Linked DNA regions of Lonchura striata. The protein of the gene in region 1 binds, or shares a complex with, the protein of each later gene. Links are inferred from orthologs where the notes say so. Each region holds a gene or a part of one and is shown on either strand. Other genes may lie near its edges.

The links. Proteins that work in one complex are often made in the same cells at the same time.
Region 2: KAT6B (region 1) and BRD1 share a complex: the UniProt entries of both Homo sapiens proteins name them as parts of the MOZ/MORF complex. The link is inferred for Lonchura striata from reciprocal best matches to the Homo sapiens genes KAT6B and BRD1.

The regions. Positions count from the first base shown.
Region 1 is NC_134609.1:11,669,607-11,676,860, reverse strand, and holds the start of KAT6B (histone acetyltransferase KAT6B), read left to right. Parts: upstream 1-4,161; 5' UTR 4,162-4,344; exon of another isoform or gene 4,345-4,449; 5' UTR 4,450-4,503; intron 4,504-4,619; exon of another isoform or gene 4,620-4,647; intron 4,648-4,663; exon of another isoform or gene 4,664-4,894; intron 4,895-6,207; exon of another isoform or gene 6,208-6,312; intron 6,313-7,254. UniProt on the Homo sapiens protein: Histone acetyltransferase which may be involved in both positive and negative regulation of transcription. Required for RUNX2-dependent transcriptional activation. May be involved in cerebral cortex development.
Region 2 is NC_134607.1:28,520,341-28,528,023, reverse strand, and holds the start of BRD1 (bromodomain-containing protein 1), read left to right. Parts: upstream 1-4,604; 5' UTR 4,605-4,723; intron 4,724-7,683. UniProt on the Homo sapiens protein: Scaffold subunit of various histone acetyltransferase (HAT) complexes, such as the MOZ/MORF and HBO1 complexes, that acts as a regulator of hematopoiesis.

The DNA.
Region 1 (7,254 bases):
ATTGTCATATATAAGAGCCACCTGGTTTTTTCCTTCTTTGCTTTTAGCATTTTCCTTTGCACTCCCAAATTCTATTCATCCCATTGCTTCTTTAACATGTAGCATAGTTAATGCAGCAAAAAGACTTGTTCCTGCTGAGGTCTGAAATGTGTGTTAACAGGCCAGCAGTTTCTTCTCCACGACCAGCACAGGACCTCTGAAACTGGATCTCTTGTGCCCAGAGTAGAGCCCTTAATACTCAGGTGCCCAGATTTTTCCTGAGGCCAGCATCCTCTTCTAACCACTTTGCTTTACACTTTGTCTATCTCTGGTTGGAGAACAAGAGAAATAACAGTCACCTAACAAAGCTCTTACAGGAACTAATTCATTAAGGATTGTAAAGTACTTTGATATAGCAGTGTGGTATATTTGCCAGAGTAGAAAGGAACATGTGGGATTTATTATAAACAGTCACTGTCTCCATCCCTGTGGGATGACAGCTGATCTACCACAAACACTTATTTCCAAATTACAGTATTATGCCAATTACAACTCCTGAGTTGAAACTGCTATAGCATTTACCTTATAATGTGCTAGTTTCAGGAATTAAAAAACACCAGAATCAGTAAAATGGCAGCAGGAGACTATTTTACACTATTATTCAATTTGATTAAATGGAATAGATGAGACAGCAAATGATCAGAAAACATGCCCACAGGTTACTCACTTTGTGTGTATATAAACATATGAGTGTATATATTAATATAATCTATAGTGCTTAAGTTGGGTGGTGGTGCTCTGTTATGTGCAGCAATGCATATCCTCATACATAAACCAAGAAGCATTCTGCTTGTGCAGAGGAGCAGACATAGTTTCATGGATTAATCTTTCAGATTAAATTAAAATACAAATAGCTGGGGGAAAAGAATATCACAAATGAAAAAAAAAAAAAAAAGGTTGTTTAGTCCAGAAGGAATGTGAGATTGAAGGTAAGCTAAGCAGAGGAGGTTGTTCAGGTAAAGAATTTATGCATTCAGCTCCTACAGGCTGGGATGAAACTCATGGCACTCTTAGGATGACTTTTCTTCCCAGGGTCACTTCTTTCAACAGCATATGCCAGGGGATGCAATTTCCAGGTGACTGTAGTCAAATATGTGGTTGTGTGTGGTAATAATAGAAGGAACATCCTGGCTTGGTTGAAGTCATAGGACGTTTTGCCAGGCTGCGATGGGGGCCAAGATTTTACCCTCCAGCATCTCCAAAGATAAATAGGGATCTGTCACCATACCAACATGGACAACTACATAATTGTTTCTAAATATGTAACAGCCCCACTAGTTCTAATGGAACTGCATCAGTGATTAAAGGCCTCACAGGGAAATTCTTAATATGGCAGTAATTTCATGCACAAGAATTTTCTTACTGATTTCAAGCAAGTGCTCAAACTCTAATTCGGTCTTCTTTTTTGTACACTGATGAATTTATTCTGCACATGTCTGGGCTTTATTTAAGCAGTAGTCTCCAGCATGTCTTACACCACAGCCATACAGCAATTTTCAGATTTTGATTTTTGAGAACTGAATTTAACTGAGACCATGCAGAGCCCTTAACTTCTTGCTTTCTCTCACTTGTGATCAAAAAATAGCAGTGTTAGTGCATTTTTAGAATAATTCTAAGGACTTTTGAGGAGAGACATATGCTTACTACATACTCTACAATATATATGTACAATCATATATATTTTTCCATTGGGGGGGATGTGGGGCAAAAATGCTCTAAATAAGATTATTTAAAATAGAATAAAAACAAAGAGACTAATAGAACAAAGTGAAATGGGCCAAAGTAGATCTTTCTACAAGAATACATGGGAAAGTTATTTTGATTTTAGGTACTCTTGTTTAATATTAAGGACATGATTTTAGCACATGGAATGGGTGTATTCAATGTATAAGTGTTTAGACACCTGTTACTACTTCATCAGTTTGCAAGACTTATGGGAGAAAAATCCCGCAAAGTCTGCCCATGAAAGACATACTTAAGTGTAAATTTTATTGTTTGCACTAACTTCATTGATGGGCTTTTTACATTTCCATAGATATTTTTAATATAGGCTTGAGGGTGTTTTCATACAATAAACCAAAAATATTTCTTATCTAGATGACAAACCAAAATGCTTATAGACATTCTCAGTTAGATCCAAAGCATTCCAGATTTCTCTGTGTAACATGCACTATCTCAAACTGAACTGCACTAAATTGCCATGATGTAGCTCTTTTGAAGTTATAATTTTGGGAAATAGTATAATTTACAGTGACAGTGGATCTGAGTTTGCTGGACGATGATTCATGTATAAAGAGTTCATGTGCTTAACTTCACAGTTTACATAATATCAGGTACACCAGTAAATGTCAAGATCCATAGGAGTTTCTTTGCAAACAAAAGATTCTTGAATATGTTAAAAACTGGAACATAACACCCAATGACATATCATCCTGTAAAATTTATTTTTGGGAAAAGAGTTAAATTGAGAAGAAAGAATGGGATTGTTTAAACCAGAGACTTTTATAATTTTTCTCTGCGTTATTACTTATGTCTTCACGACATACTTGTAATTTCAAAATGGCCAAACATATTATCAAGTTTTCTCCAGTGTTTTGTTTCCTAAGCTGGGATGTGGCCATGCCAAGTTTCAGTTTCAAGAAATTATTTTTATGTTTTTGCCACTAACCAAGTTGTAAATTTCCCGGAAAGAAAAAAAAAAGTTTCTGATGGAAATGTTGACACAACATTCAGAATAGTGTTGCAAATGTGACGCTGTGCTACAAATTGTGCTGAAATGATTTATAACATTTCCAATAATTTAAAAACTATTTTAAATCACAGCCAGGTCCTGCATAATGCATGAACCTTGACGGATTCTCCAACAAGTATTAGGTCACTACACATTTCAATTTCCCTCTTTATGTTTAAAAGGCTGCATCTGGCAGTTAAAAGACTAAAACCTCAGTCAATGGTTATGGTGTGATAGATACATGCTGGAATATTATTTTCACCCGGTAGCTTTCTTTAAGTAGGTCATACAATTTTACAGTGCTCTGAAACATCACCAAAGAGCTTCCTTACACAGTATCTCGAGCAAGTGACTCTGAAAGAAGTTGCAGTAAACCTTAATGCTTTTTTTTATTGTTATGGAAACTTTGTTTCCTTACTAGTCTACATGCAGTGCATCATCTAGGGAAGATCTTAATTTATTGTAGAAGGTAATTTTCCACCCACTCTTAAGGATATTTTTTAGAATTTTACTTTTATATTTTCTTATTCAGGACCAGATATTTTTAGAAAACTTTGCAGGCAGGCACCTAACTTAACATGTCATCCACAAGATGTGGAAAAGAGGATGTTGAGGAGACATCTGGAACAATCATGATTCAAGTTTGGGAACATGAGGGATATCTAGCTGTGTCTGCTTGAGTGGATGCTCAGGTAGGTACTCTGCCTTTCCCTCCCTTTTGTGGTACCCTATGGGATGTATCCCATGGTATTTTGTCATGCCATGCTTGGGTAAAAAGTGATGTTTGGGTGAAAAGTGCTGTTTGCTGGCCGTTGGTGAGAAAACCATCACAAGGAGTATTAAAACCCAGGAGTAGAACTCGATGGTTGTGATGGGTCCCTTCCAACTCAGCATATTCTGTGATTACTGAAAACTTTGACATGGTGAGAGGCCTTTGGCAGCGCCGGTCAAGACAGCGCGGAGAAAGCCGAGCTTTAAGTCCATACGTGTTATCACCTTGTTCTTTTAAACATATTCCTCGGAACATCTTGTTACATGTACGAACTCAATGGGAGGACAACATCTGTGATTAGTTCACGCTGCTTCCACCCCTCAGACTAATTGTGGCAGCTCCAGCACAGCCCCCTTGCCCCGGCCCGGGGGAGTGCCGAAGCCCAAGGGCTGCCTGCGGGGTGCTGCCCCCGGCGCCGCTCCAGCCGCCCCGCGGAGGACGGAGAGCGCAGCGCGACCCCCGAGGGCGGCCGCGGGCCCCGGGAGGCGCCGGCGGCCGCTTCCCCGCAGCCGCCTTCCCGCCCAGGGGACGCGCCGCCCCACAAACTTTATCGCCTTTCCCCCTTTCTCCCTTTTTTATTTTTTTTTAATTTTTTTTTTTTTTTTTTTTTTTTTTTGAGGGAGAAAAGGTGGGGGGGAGCTCAATTTCCCACTTGCCAACAGCAGATAAAAAAGTGGGGAGGGACCTCTTCTGTCACAGCCTATGTAGATTAACCTTTCAATTAGCTGTTATCAGGTCCTGTGTCTTAGCACCAGTCCTCGCAATCTGCGTCCGCCCGCACCGGGGAGGCTGGAGGTCTGGGGTGGGTTTCTGTTTTAATTTCTAAATTAATGATAATTGCTCGCGTGGCTCCCCTCCCCCGCCGAGAGCTGAACGCGTGTGTCTGATCTGCCCGTCCACCTTTTAGTATTTTGGAGTGAGAAGAGGAGCCCCGCGGAGGAGGAGGAGGAGGGGAGACAAGGTATTCTCTCTGTATTCATCTTCTTTTTTCCCCTCTCGCGGAGGGGCTTAGGGAAGGTAACTGGTGCAATCAATCCGCTGGCTGGGGATTCCCTCCACCCCCTCCCCGGCTCGTCTGGCTCTCCTGGCTGGGTCTCTTCAGTGTGTATGTGTTTGGGGAAGGGGGTGGGGGGAGGCTGTGTTGTTGTTGTGTTCCTGGCTCTGCTTGCAGCCAGGAGAGAGAGCGAGCGGGCGAGCGAGAGACAGAGCGGAGAGAGCGAGCGAGCGAGAGAGAGAGAGGAGCCGCGATCGCGTTTCAGGGGCAGCACATTCCGCAGGAACCGCTGCTGCAGAAACACACACGGGCAGAGAAAGGAGGTCATTGCAAGCAAAGGGGGGAACCTGCATCGGAGGTTAGATTCCCAGGAGTTTATGCGGGGGATAATAGGGAGCATGCGATGGGGTTTGTTTTGCATTGGGTGACAGGCTGCAATTTGCCATAATAACCCCCTTTCCCTCCCCTCTCCCAGCGCAGGGGGCTTGTCACTAGGCTGGGTACTTTTTTTCCTTTAGCATCGGAGGCTGATGCACGTGTTTGCAGACACTTGCGCTGGGTAAATGCATTGCAATGCTCTGCGTTTTGCAGGGGAGGGGGAGCAGCAGCAGGGGGTGATGGCTGGGTTGGATGGGGTGGGGAGAGGGGGAATGGAGTGGCGGAGGGAAGCAGGGGATGGCTGAGGTTTTTGTGTTGCATGTTCCCACCCTGTCTTTCTGAGGCGGCAATTGTTCCTTCGCAGACGGGGTGACAGAGAAGTCCCTGGTGCTTCGCATGGCGAAACTTGCAGGGACCTGCATGTGGCTGCAGAGCCGGGAGTCATTGTCGTCGTCCCCGTTCCCACTCCCTCCTCCCTCCCCCGGCGGTGCGGGGTGTGCGCGATAAGCGGCTGCCAGTCCAGGCACCTTGGGAGGTGATGCTGGGCGCATGCTGCTCCATCTCGCCCGCCCGGGCGAGCGCCAGCCGCTGAGGCGCGCGCGACGCTCAGTATTTAAGGCGGCTCATTAGTGTGTGTCGCGCGCCCGCCCGCCCTGCCGAGCTGGCTCAGGCGGCCGCCGCCGGTGTCTCGGCAGCGCTCGCGCTCCCGAACAAACTTCGGGAGCGAGCGGGTGGGGCGGTGGCGGGGGCTGGGGAGGCCGAGGGTGGGGGGTGGCGGACGGGCGGCAGCGGCGGCCAACGGGAGGGTGGGATGGCGAGGAGTCCCGCCGCCGCTCCCGGCGGCTGGCCAATCGCGAGCGCCCCGGGGCCCGGCGGTGAGGCGGGCGGGCGGGGCGCGCCAGTGTGTGGCGGCGGCGGCGGCCAGTGTCAGCCGCCGGCCCCGCCCCCTCCCGCCGGTGGGCGGTGCTGAGCGCGCCGGGAAGGGGCGCGCCGCGTGAGTGACGGGCGGCGCCCGCCAATGGGAGCGCCGGGCCGGTTGCTGGGCGGGCCCGGCCCGGTGTGGGCGGGCGGCGGCAGCCCCCCCCCGGCCCGTGAGCGCGCAGCGGCGTGCGCGGCGCGGGCCAATGGCGGGCGGCGGTGGGCGGGGCGCGGGGTAGGTAAGGTTTTAATGAGCCTCCATTGGGCTGTAATCAGTGTCATGTCGGATTCACGTTAAGTACAACGGGGCGAGACAAAATGGCGGCGTAGGTGCGCCGAGCCGCGCGGGGCGGTCGCGGCGGCCGCGGGCAGCGCGGAGCGGGGCAGGCGGCCCGGCGCGGCCCGGCGGCGGGAGCGGCGGAAGAGCCGGCAGCAGGGGGAGCCGCTGCGGCGCCCGGAGGAGGCTCCTCCCCCGCCGAGGTGAGTGGTACCGGGGGGGTCTCACCTGCCTCCCGCGGGGGACGCGCGGCCGCCGCCCCCGGCCCCGCCCGGCGCCCCGCGGGTGCGCGCACGGCCCGGGCTGCCCTGCCGCGGGTCGCCGTGCCCGGGGGCTGAGCCCGCGGGCCGGGGCTCCTGCCTCGGCGATGGCAAACCCCGGAGCAGGGCGGGCAGGGCGCAGAGCCAGCCCCGGCTTGGCCCCTTCGAATGCAACAATGCCTTGGCCCGAGGCTCTGGGCGTTGCACATCTCCGTGGCTGGGCTAGTGCTGCAAAAACCTTAAGTAAGTTGGGGAGGGGAATAGTCCAGCTTGGCGGTGCCACGTTTTGGAAGTGATGTTCACATTGTGTGTTCTTTGCCCGGACCTCACCTCTCATACTCTGTCACTGAGCATTGAAAATAACCCCCTCTGGCAAGAGCAGACGGATACCCACCCCTGCTGTTGAAAACCACTATCTCAAGAAGAAATGTTTTCAGTTCACCTTTTTCCAGGTGAACTCTTGGCAGTGAATATTACCTTTCCGTATTTCCTGCGGTTCTCTAGTACTGTATTTTAAAGTACTCAGAACTTCCACAGGAGAAGGTGGGAAAGGTGAATTTGGGTGATTTTGCTGCTGTCATGTTGTGCTGATGCTGCTTCCTCTGGTGGCGCTTGCTGCTGTCATGTTGGGAAACGATTTTAAGCAGATGATCTCGAAGAAGCTTGTGGGGTATCTCAGAGCACAAGCACTTCCATCAGTTTGTTTCACATGTGCCACTCTTCTCTCCACATCCACGAGTCTTTAGTGCAGTTTTGAAGTTACTGTAGTGTATACATCTGTCTTTTTAAAGCATATAGATGTGTCATTGCTTTTTCTTAAATTTGGAAAGCATATTGTGTGTAAAGAATAATAGAGTAGCTGAGCTGAATAATTTTAAGAGGGAT
Region 2 (7,683 bases), on another chromosome or scaffold:
AAGAGAAGCAGATTATTCTCTTGATTATGGCTCTGTCTACTCTTTTGGAAACAGCAATATCATTATACATGAGTGCCAATAGTTCTGTTCCAAGGTTTTGTTCTTGATAAAATAGTCTTGAAACTAGTAGATGGTAGTTTTGCTGTTTGGCAGACCTACAGGTCATTACACAGGCAAGCTCTGTCCTTGTGTTGCAGCATGATGTAATTTGTGTGTGGTTTTTTGTTTTGTATTATTGAAGCATAGCTTACATATGTTTTCATGTATAGCCTAATCATGAAGTTTGTTTTTGCATCTTTGCAGTGTCCAGAGGAGTGAGGTCATTCCCCACCTTCCACCATGCAACAGTTATGAGCACATATTGTAGAGAGCATCTTAAAATTGCAAAATCCTAAAGGTACATGATGTTAAAGGATTCAGAATAGTGGATAAGTAAAGCAGGCAGTATTTGCTGTCAATTGTATATCTCAGCAAATTACTTGGTGTATCTCTCTGTCAGCAAGTGACAGGATACATACCTCTTCTTGCAGTAGGTGACTCCAAGCAGTAGCTCCAACAAATGCTTAAATGGAAATGGGATAAGGGCCTTTGCATAACAGCTTTACTACTTGAAGACCACTCTGTCAAATGATCTTCTAGCTTATCTATAGATAACATTCCATAGGACTGCTCAGCAGATGCAGCTTACAAAGGTATTTCTTTGCAAGCACCCTGATCAAGTTTGACTTCTGGTGGAGCTCTGATGATAAAACGTCTCTGGACCTTCATCAGTACCATAAAAGGCACTGACACAGCTCCCAGTCTGTTTTTAAACTTGTGTTTTGGTGAAGACTGTTCATTTGGATCGTTTGTTCTGAAGGGTCAGACTAAAGGGTCTTAACAATTCATAAACAAAGAACCACTTTGGCTGTGAGAATGAGAAAGGTGATATGTGTAGGAAGTAAGAGTTACTGAGGCTGTAAGAAACAAAACATCCTTGATTCCATAACAGTTGGTGAACATACATTGTCATCATACAGCTAAAACATCCAGATCAGAGGAGTGAGAAGGAAAGTCCAGACAAATCTTCCTAACTACAGATCAAGGAATATATTCAGTAAACAAGTAGGAGTAAAATGGATACTTCTTTCATATATTTGAAGCTAAAAATTTGATCTTCCTTCTGGTCATCCAGGACTCAGTCTAGTATGATGTACCAATCTTTCTTACAAGATATCAGTAATAACTAGAAGATGGATCAGTGATCATGTGTATTTTCCTGTAAATACAAAAATTTGCAGATCACCCAGAAGATGCAGAGTGATCCTGCACCACCACCCAACAGACTGAAAATAAACAGCTGAAATTCTGTGAGCACACTGCTATAATATGTCTATTGATAAGATTACTACATCTTTTCCACAGTGAATGCCGTTCTGGCTTCCATGAGGTTTGGGAACAACCTTTCTTTTGTGAACTTGCAAAGTCATGCCTGAAAGTATTCTACCAGTGGCACATACCATCACTGATGAAGTAAGTGAGATCTAAAAGCATTCCCATGTAGGATGAGAGGACCATGGTCATGTTGTGTCATAGATGAGTGTGAAGGTGTAAATTGTATAATGGATAAGCCAAACTTGAAAACTTACTGGTGATACATTACCTTAGGGCATCATATGGAAATATCACATTCAAGGTTAGGCAGATTTGTCATCATGATAGGAAGAAGACCCACACGGGTATGTTATGGCAGTCCAAAACCTTTCTCGAAATGCAGATTGTTGCAGGTTCTAAGGAGCGGGCATGAGTTCTGATTCCTTCTGGTCTTTTCAGCAGATAGCTGTCTGGGCCAGGAGAGGGATACAAAGTTGCATCCAAAGTAGGTCATTACCTCTGCAAGTATTTATTGCTGCAGTGACTGTTGTGTTGACTTGTATTAATCTGTGAAACAAAGGTGATACACTTTAGAAACATAGAAATGTGTCTCATGAAGTTTGATTCTACAAGAAAATAGAGGAGGATGCTGGGGCAGATAAATAGCAATTGTGTTTCTTTATGTGGTTTTTCTTGCAGTGATTCTGTTGAGAATTTGACAACTAGTGGAGGTGAAAGCTGGTAGGCAGAAGATAGACCTTCTGTGAAGTTTTCCATGCAGAGTGAGTCAGCATTGGCAACTTGTTTAACAGTTTGATCCTGCCAGGTAGGGGTGTGAGGATTCTGAAGAACTGGGACTAAAGCCCCTTGCACATGTTGAACTGGTGTGAAAAACAGTGGTGAGTGGTCTGTTGCCATCAAGCTAGAGATCAGAGGGCTTATTTTTAGCTTGAAATTGAACCATATGCTAGTAGTATTGTATTCTTTTGAGTAACCACATCTCACTTGTGAGGTGGAAAAGATGAAGGTAGCAGATCTTTTAGGTTGTAGGCACATGTGCTGGGGACTGGACAGATGTCCCAGACAATACTACATACTGCTCTGTTTTGAAATGCATAGGCTAATATACTAATAGTTAAAATGAAGAGATTGAGCATCCTGCTTTGGTAGCCTGTCATAAGGTCAATGAAATTATTTTGAAGTCTAAGATTCCTAATAGAGAGCTTTTTGTTGAGTGTGCCCTAATCTTTGTGCTGTTACTCTGAAATACCATATGAAGGAACAACATGAGGTCTGTGTCCTAGCCTGGACACTCCAGAACAAAAACTCAACATACCACCTTCTTAATGAGAGTAATTGGAAGAATCTAGAAGAATGAGTTTAAATTACAGAAAAGTGGTCAAATGGTGGAAATACCAATGAGGAATACCCTGTTATCATAGGGATGCCTAAGGATGATGGAATGCTTAGTCCACCTGTCAGAAAAAAGAAACTGGAAAAAAGCCAGACTTGCTGTGTGTCAGACGCATTAGAATGTGGACACCATCAAAGTTTCTGTGGCAAACTTGTCTCCACTTAAAAAAGTATTTGTACAGCTGCAAAGCAAATACACGTGAATTATTGCTTAAAAGATAAACTGGCATATTTTCATATCATAATCTTAATAGGTTTTTGACAACATTATTTCTATTCATTTTTATACTCTGCACACTAATGTACATGATAAGGTATGGTATGATATCCCTCTTTAATATGTTTCTATCACAGGTTGAATTCCAGTGCAACAACACTAACTTATATCAGCATGTTGTAAGACTTCTGAGACTGCTGACAGGATCACTAAAACAATTTAACTGGAGAGTAGTTCCTCACAGCCAAGTACACAAATGACCAGATGGCCTCCATAGTTTGTACAAACTTTCTTGTATTGGAAGCTGAAGGTACTTTATGTGTCTGTGCCTAAGGATTTATATCTACACTGAGCAAACTGCACAAGTGTTAGCTGCTTTAATAGCTTCTGTTTTGTTCAGAGATCAGTGTGCTAAATGGTCCCTGAGGAGGATAAAAAGAATTTGGAAAGTACTTTTCATATTCGACAAGATTTCCAGCCTAGTTGCTTAAACTCTCTGGACTTCAATTAACTTTCTACAAGTAATAACATATGTATCTATTTCTGATTCCCTAGTCATATATTAATTGTAGGACCTACTGGTTTTTGAGGCAAGGAAACCTCTTACTACTAGAGAAAACAAAAATGAATGGGTAAGTTGTTTTTCAGCAATTTAGCTGAGTGGATGCTAAATACTGATGGGTAAAAAGAATCACACCTACTCTCAATCACTTGTTTTTTACTATATGCTTGCTTTGGATGATCAGCACAGGCAAGTGTTTGTGTTAGGCAGGGCCAGCTAAACCTTGTTTTCTAAGGATGTGGGTGCAGCTGCCTTGCAGAAATGTATTGCAGTAAAACCCTCCAGTTCTCAGATATGGCTGTAATGGCTGTCTAAAAATAATACCTAACAAAGGGTGTCCTTTGCAGGGGAAGCCAGAAATAACCTTCTTTTTCTCTGTCAAAATGTAAGGCTAATATCAGTTCATCTACAAGCAGCAGTTTGACCCAGAGACCACGAAGGAGCTTACTTTCAGCATAAGGAATCTTGAGCTTGGACTTCCCCCCCAAAGAGATAATAAATACCACTCGCTTCAACTTTCTAGCCTCGGTTTTGTAACGAGTCCCGTCCCGCCTCCATCCGTTCCCTGGCCCCCGCGCCGGGCCGTTCGAACGTTGTACCAGGGACGCTCGGCGGGTTCGGGCTCGGGCCCGGCCGGTCCAGGCGGGAGCGCAGCGGTCGTGGGACCGGCGCGTTCCCGCCCCGAGCGCGGCCGGTGCCGGCCGCGGCCGCGGGGAGCGGCGGCGCGCAAGGCCCCGCCCCGCGGCGGCGGGAGCGGCGGGGCTGGGCGGCGCCTGGCGCCCGCACGTCCCTTCCCTCCTCGCTCGCTCCCTCCCTCCCGCCCGCCTCTCCTCCTCCCCCCCGTCGGCGCAGCGCTGTGGTGAAGCCGCATTGTTTGTGCCGCGGGGGGAGGGGAGCCGCTCAGCCCCGGGAGCCGAGCGCCGAGCCCGCAGCCGGACAGCGACGCGCGCCGCGCCTCACGAATGCGCCGCGCCCGGCGGCAGCAGCAGCCCCGCACCCAGCGCCGGGTGACCGCCGCGGGCAGCGCGGCCCTCGTAGCGCCCGCTCGGCCGCCCGCGGCTGCCGGACGCGGGGCCAGGCGGCAGCACCGGCGGGGCCTCCGCCATTAACCCGGCCGAGCGTCGGCCGCAGCGGCGGAGCGGGAGGTCTGTCAGCCGCTCCTCGGCGGCTCCCACAGCGTGAGTACGGCCGGGTTGGGCGGCGGGGACCCGCGGGCGGGGGCTACGGGGCCGGGAGCCGGCGGGTCTCGCCGCAGCGGGACGGGAGAGCGGCACGGGGGCAAGAGCAGGGCGGACTGGGCACGGCAGCCCGCGGGGGAGGGCAGCGGCGGGCGGGCGGGGAGCGAGGCGAGCGCGGCGGTCTGGGGGAGGGAGGGAGGGCGCCGCTGGAGCTGTTTTGTCAGCCGCCATATTTGTGGGCCGAGTATTTTCGCGGCGGGAGGGAGTGACTGTTGGGAAGGGCTGGAGATGATGGGCCCGGGCAGGAACCATCCTGCCGGGGGCCGGGAGGGGGGAGCGCCGCGCCGGGCAGGAACCATCGGCGCGAGGGGAGGCAGCGCGCTGGAGGCTCCCTGGGCGTGGGCAGGAAGTGTTGGCGCGGCAGGGGCGGGCCGGGGGCGTGGGCAGCGCGCGCGGGAGGCAGGATTCCGGGATGCTGCGGGAGCTGGCGGCCCTGCGCTCTTTCCGCCGGGCCGGCACAGAACGGCTCTGGTGCTCCCGCGTGGCTTGGCCGTGCCCGCGCACCTTCGCTGGGCTCCGTGAGCCGCTCTGGGCCGTGCCCCGGGGAATCGCTCCTGCTGCGCGGCTGAAGCGGCGGGTGCTGTCCGCCCAGTGTGCGTGTAAGCACTGTTTGCTTACCGTCCCCCATTGTCTAGGACTGAAGAGTATTCCCGTGTCTTTCTCTTTTTAATGGTCTACACGAAAGTGCCATTGAGAGTGCAATTCCCTAGTCCATTGAGCAGGAATCCAGGGACTAAAGACAGCTATTTGAAGAGAAGGAAGGTAACTAGGGCAGATATTGTAATTTAGAAGTATGTGGTACTGTACTTTTCGTGTTGATTTTAGCTATCCTACACCTTGATAAATAGATTTTTGTTGTTGTTGTTTTTACCTCACACCATGTATTTCACAGAAACGGCTATTTCCATGTACTTCTGTTTATGGGGAGGAAAAACGTCTGCTGGCGATTTCCTTCCCAAGTAGCTGATGCAATTCTAGGACATAAGAGCTGTGGATAACTTCCCTGGTTTATATCCCGCAGTCTTTGTGGCCAGGACAGTGCTAACAGAGGTGCATTAAAATAATTTTGTGTGCAGTTAGTGCAGTATCTTTGTGGTCATTGAATGGAAACTTGTCTTAGTTTACACTTCTAATTTACATCTTAGTCCTCATTCCTATTGATCTACAGGATACTGGGAAGAGGGGTGGGAGTAGAAGGGAGAAATGCCAGCTGATAATTGCCTAGGAAAAGCAAACCAGTTGTGGGTCATGAATTTGCTGTGCAGAACTCTGGTCTTCGTCCGGAGTATTTCTAGAACATTTGCAAACACAGAAGAATTTTGGAGAAACAAAACACTGCTTTGGCCTCTGGGGCATTTAAGTTTTTCACGCTAAATTTGCATGAAATTCAGCCTGAGTAATACCAGTTTTGATTCTGTGTGCATTACATTGTATTTTTAGGGTATCCATTCTATGTTTGAGAGTGTAACTTCCTACCTAAGTCTGCTGTATTTACTGTTGAGTATTACAATATACTTAGGTGTTAGCTCAATATTTTTTTTATCTGTCTGGTTTATACAATTCACTTGACTTTTGCAACAGCTGTCCTAAATCTTTAAGCAAGATTAAAGATCTTGTGCTTTTGAGTATTTTCTTCCTATTTTTAATTCCTGCCTGAAGCCATACTTGAGAATCTTGGGAACAGAGTGGAGTGGAGAGCTTGGAAACATAGCATTAATGTGTTTTTCTGTGGTACTGGGCTAAGGTAGTATGGACAAGTTACACATGTGTTTGATTTCTGAAGGTCACCTCTCATCCCTCCCTCTGCATATTCTCTGAAACAGTCTTCATTCTCAGGAGCCACTACTAACAGATACACAACCAGCTAAAACATAGGAAGGGACATTAAAAATACCAAAGCAGGCTTTTGCATCTGGACAGAATTGAAATGCAATTATATGAGGTAAACATGCTGTAAACCATGTTTCTTGATTGACAAGTAAACTGAGTCCATTCTGATCTGTAAAAAGTTGCTGTGCACAGACACATCAGTGTGTTTTAGCTGAAGAATCCATCATTAATTGTTCACAATAACAGAAATCAGGGCCATTGTAATACATTTCATTTATGAAATCTGTATTGAAACTGGGAATTAATTTTTAGTTTTGGTTAAATTCCTGGTATGTTTTAGTGGTCAGACCTTCTTTGGCAGTCAGTATTAGTTGTTTAAACCGTTTTCCGTGGTTAAGAAACTAATATGATTGAATCCTGTGTTGTTTTAGAGAATTTAATTATTAAAGGCTTCTTCCAAAGTTGTTCGAAGAAATGGAGCATTTTGTATTTTTCTGTGGTTTATAAAGAGCAAAGATCTGTTATGATTAAACACTGACTGTTTTCTGGCTGTATGGTACTGAAACAAGTAGTAAGGGTTAAGAATGAGTTGTGCAAAAATTATGAGAAGCACAATTCTCATGTTAATAATAACACTAGCTTAGATTATGAAAACAGATTCTGTTTCTGAGAGCAGACGGATCAGAGCCTTTCAGGAACTAGTCTTAGGGTTAGTTGCCTGAGTGATCTAGTAGTCTTCTGTGAAAGGAATTCCTCCAGTACTTTGAGACCTTTAGAAATTGGCATCTTAGACTTAAGCAAAAGGAGCAAGCCAGCATGGAGTAATTCATGCAGTTAGTTGTTCAGTGCTTGCTGTTTTCTTCCTGAAACAGGTATACTGGTCATTCACAGTAGTTGTGTTTTGATTTCTCTATTTCTCTACTATTTTGGCAATACATGCTAACACTAGTTGCGTTATAGTGAGCAGCCCTGACCCAAAATGCGGAGTTGAAATGGTGAGGCTCTAATAACACTTTAGGCAGTGATTAAAGATCAAGGATTTTTTATGTAGCTGATGTTGAATGATGCTA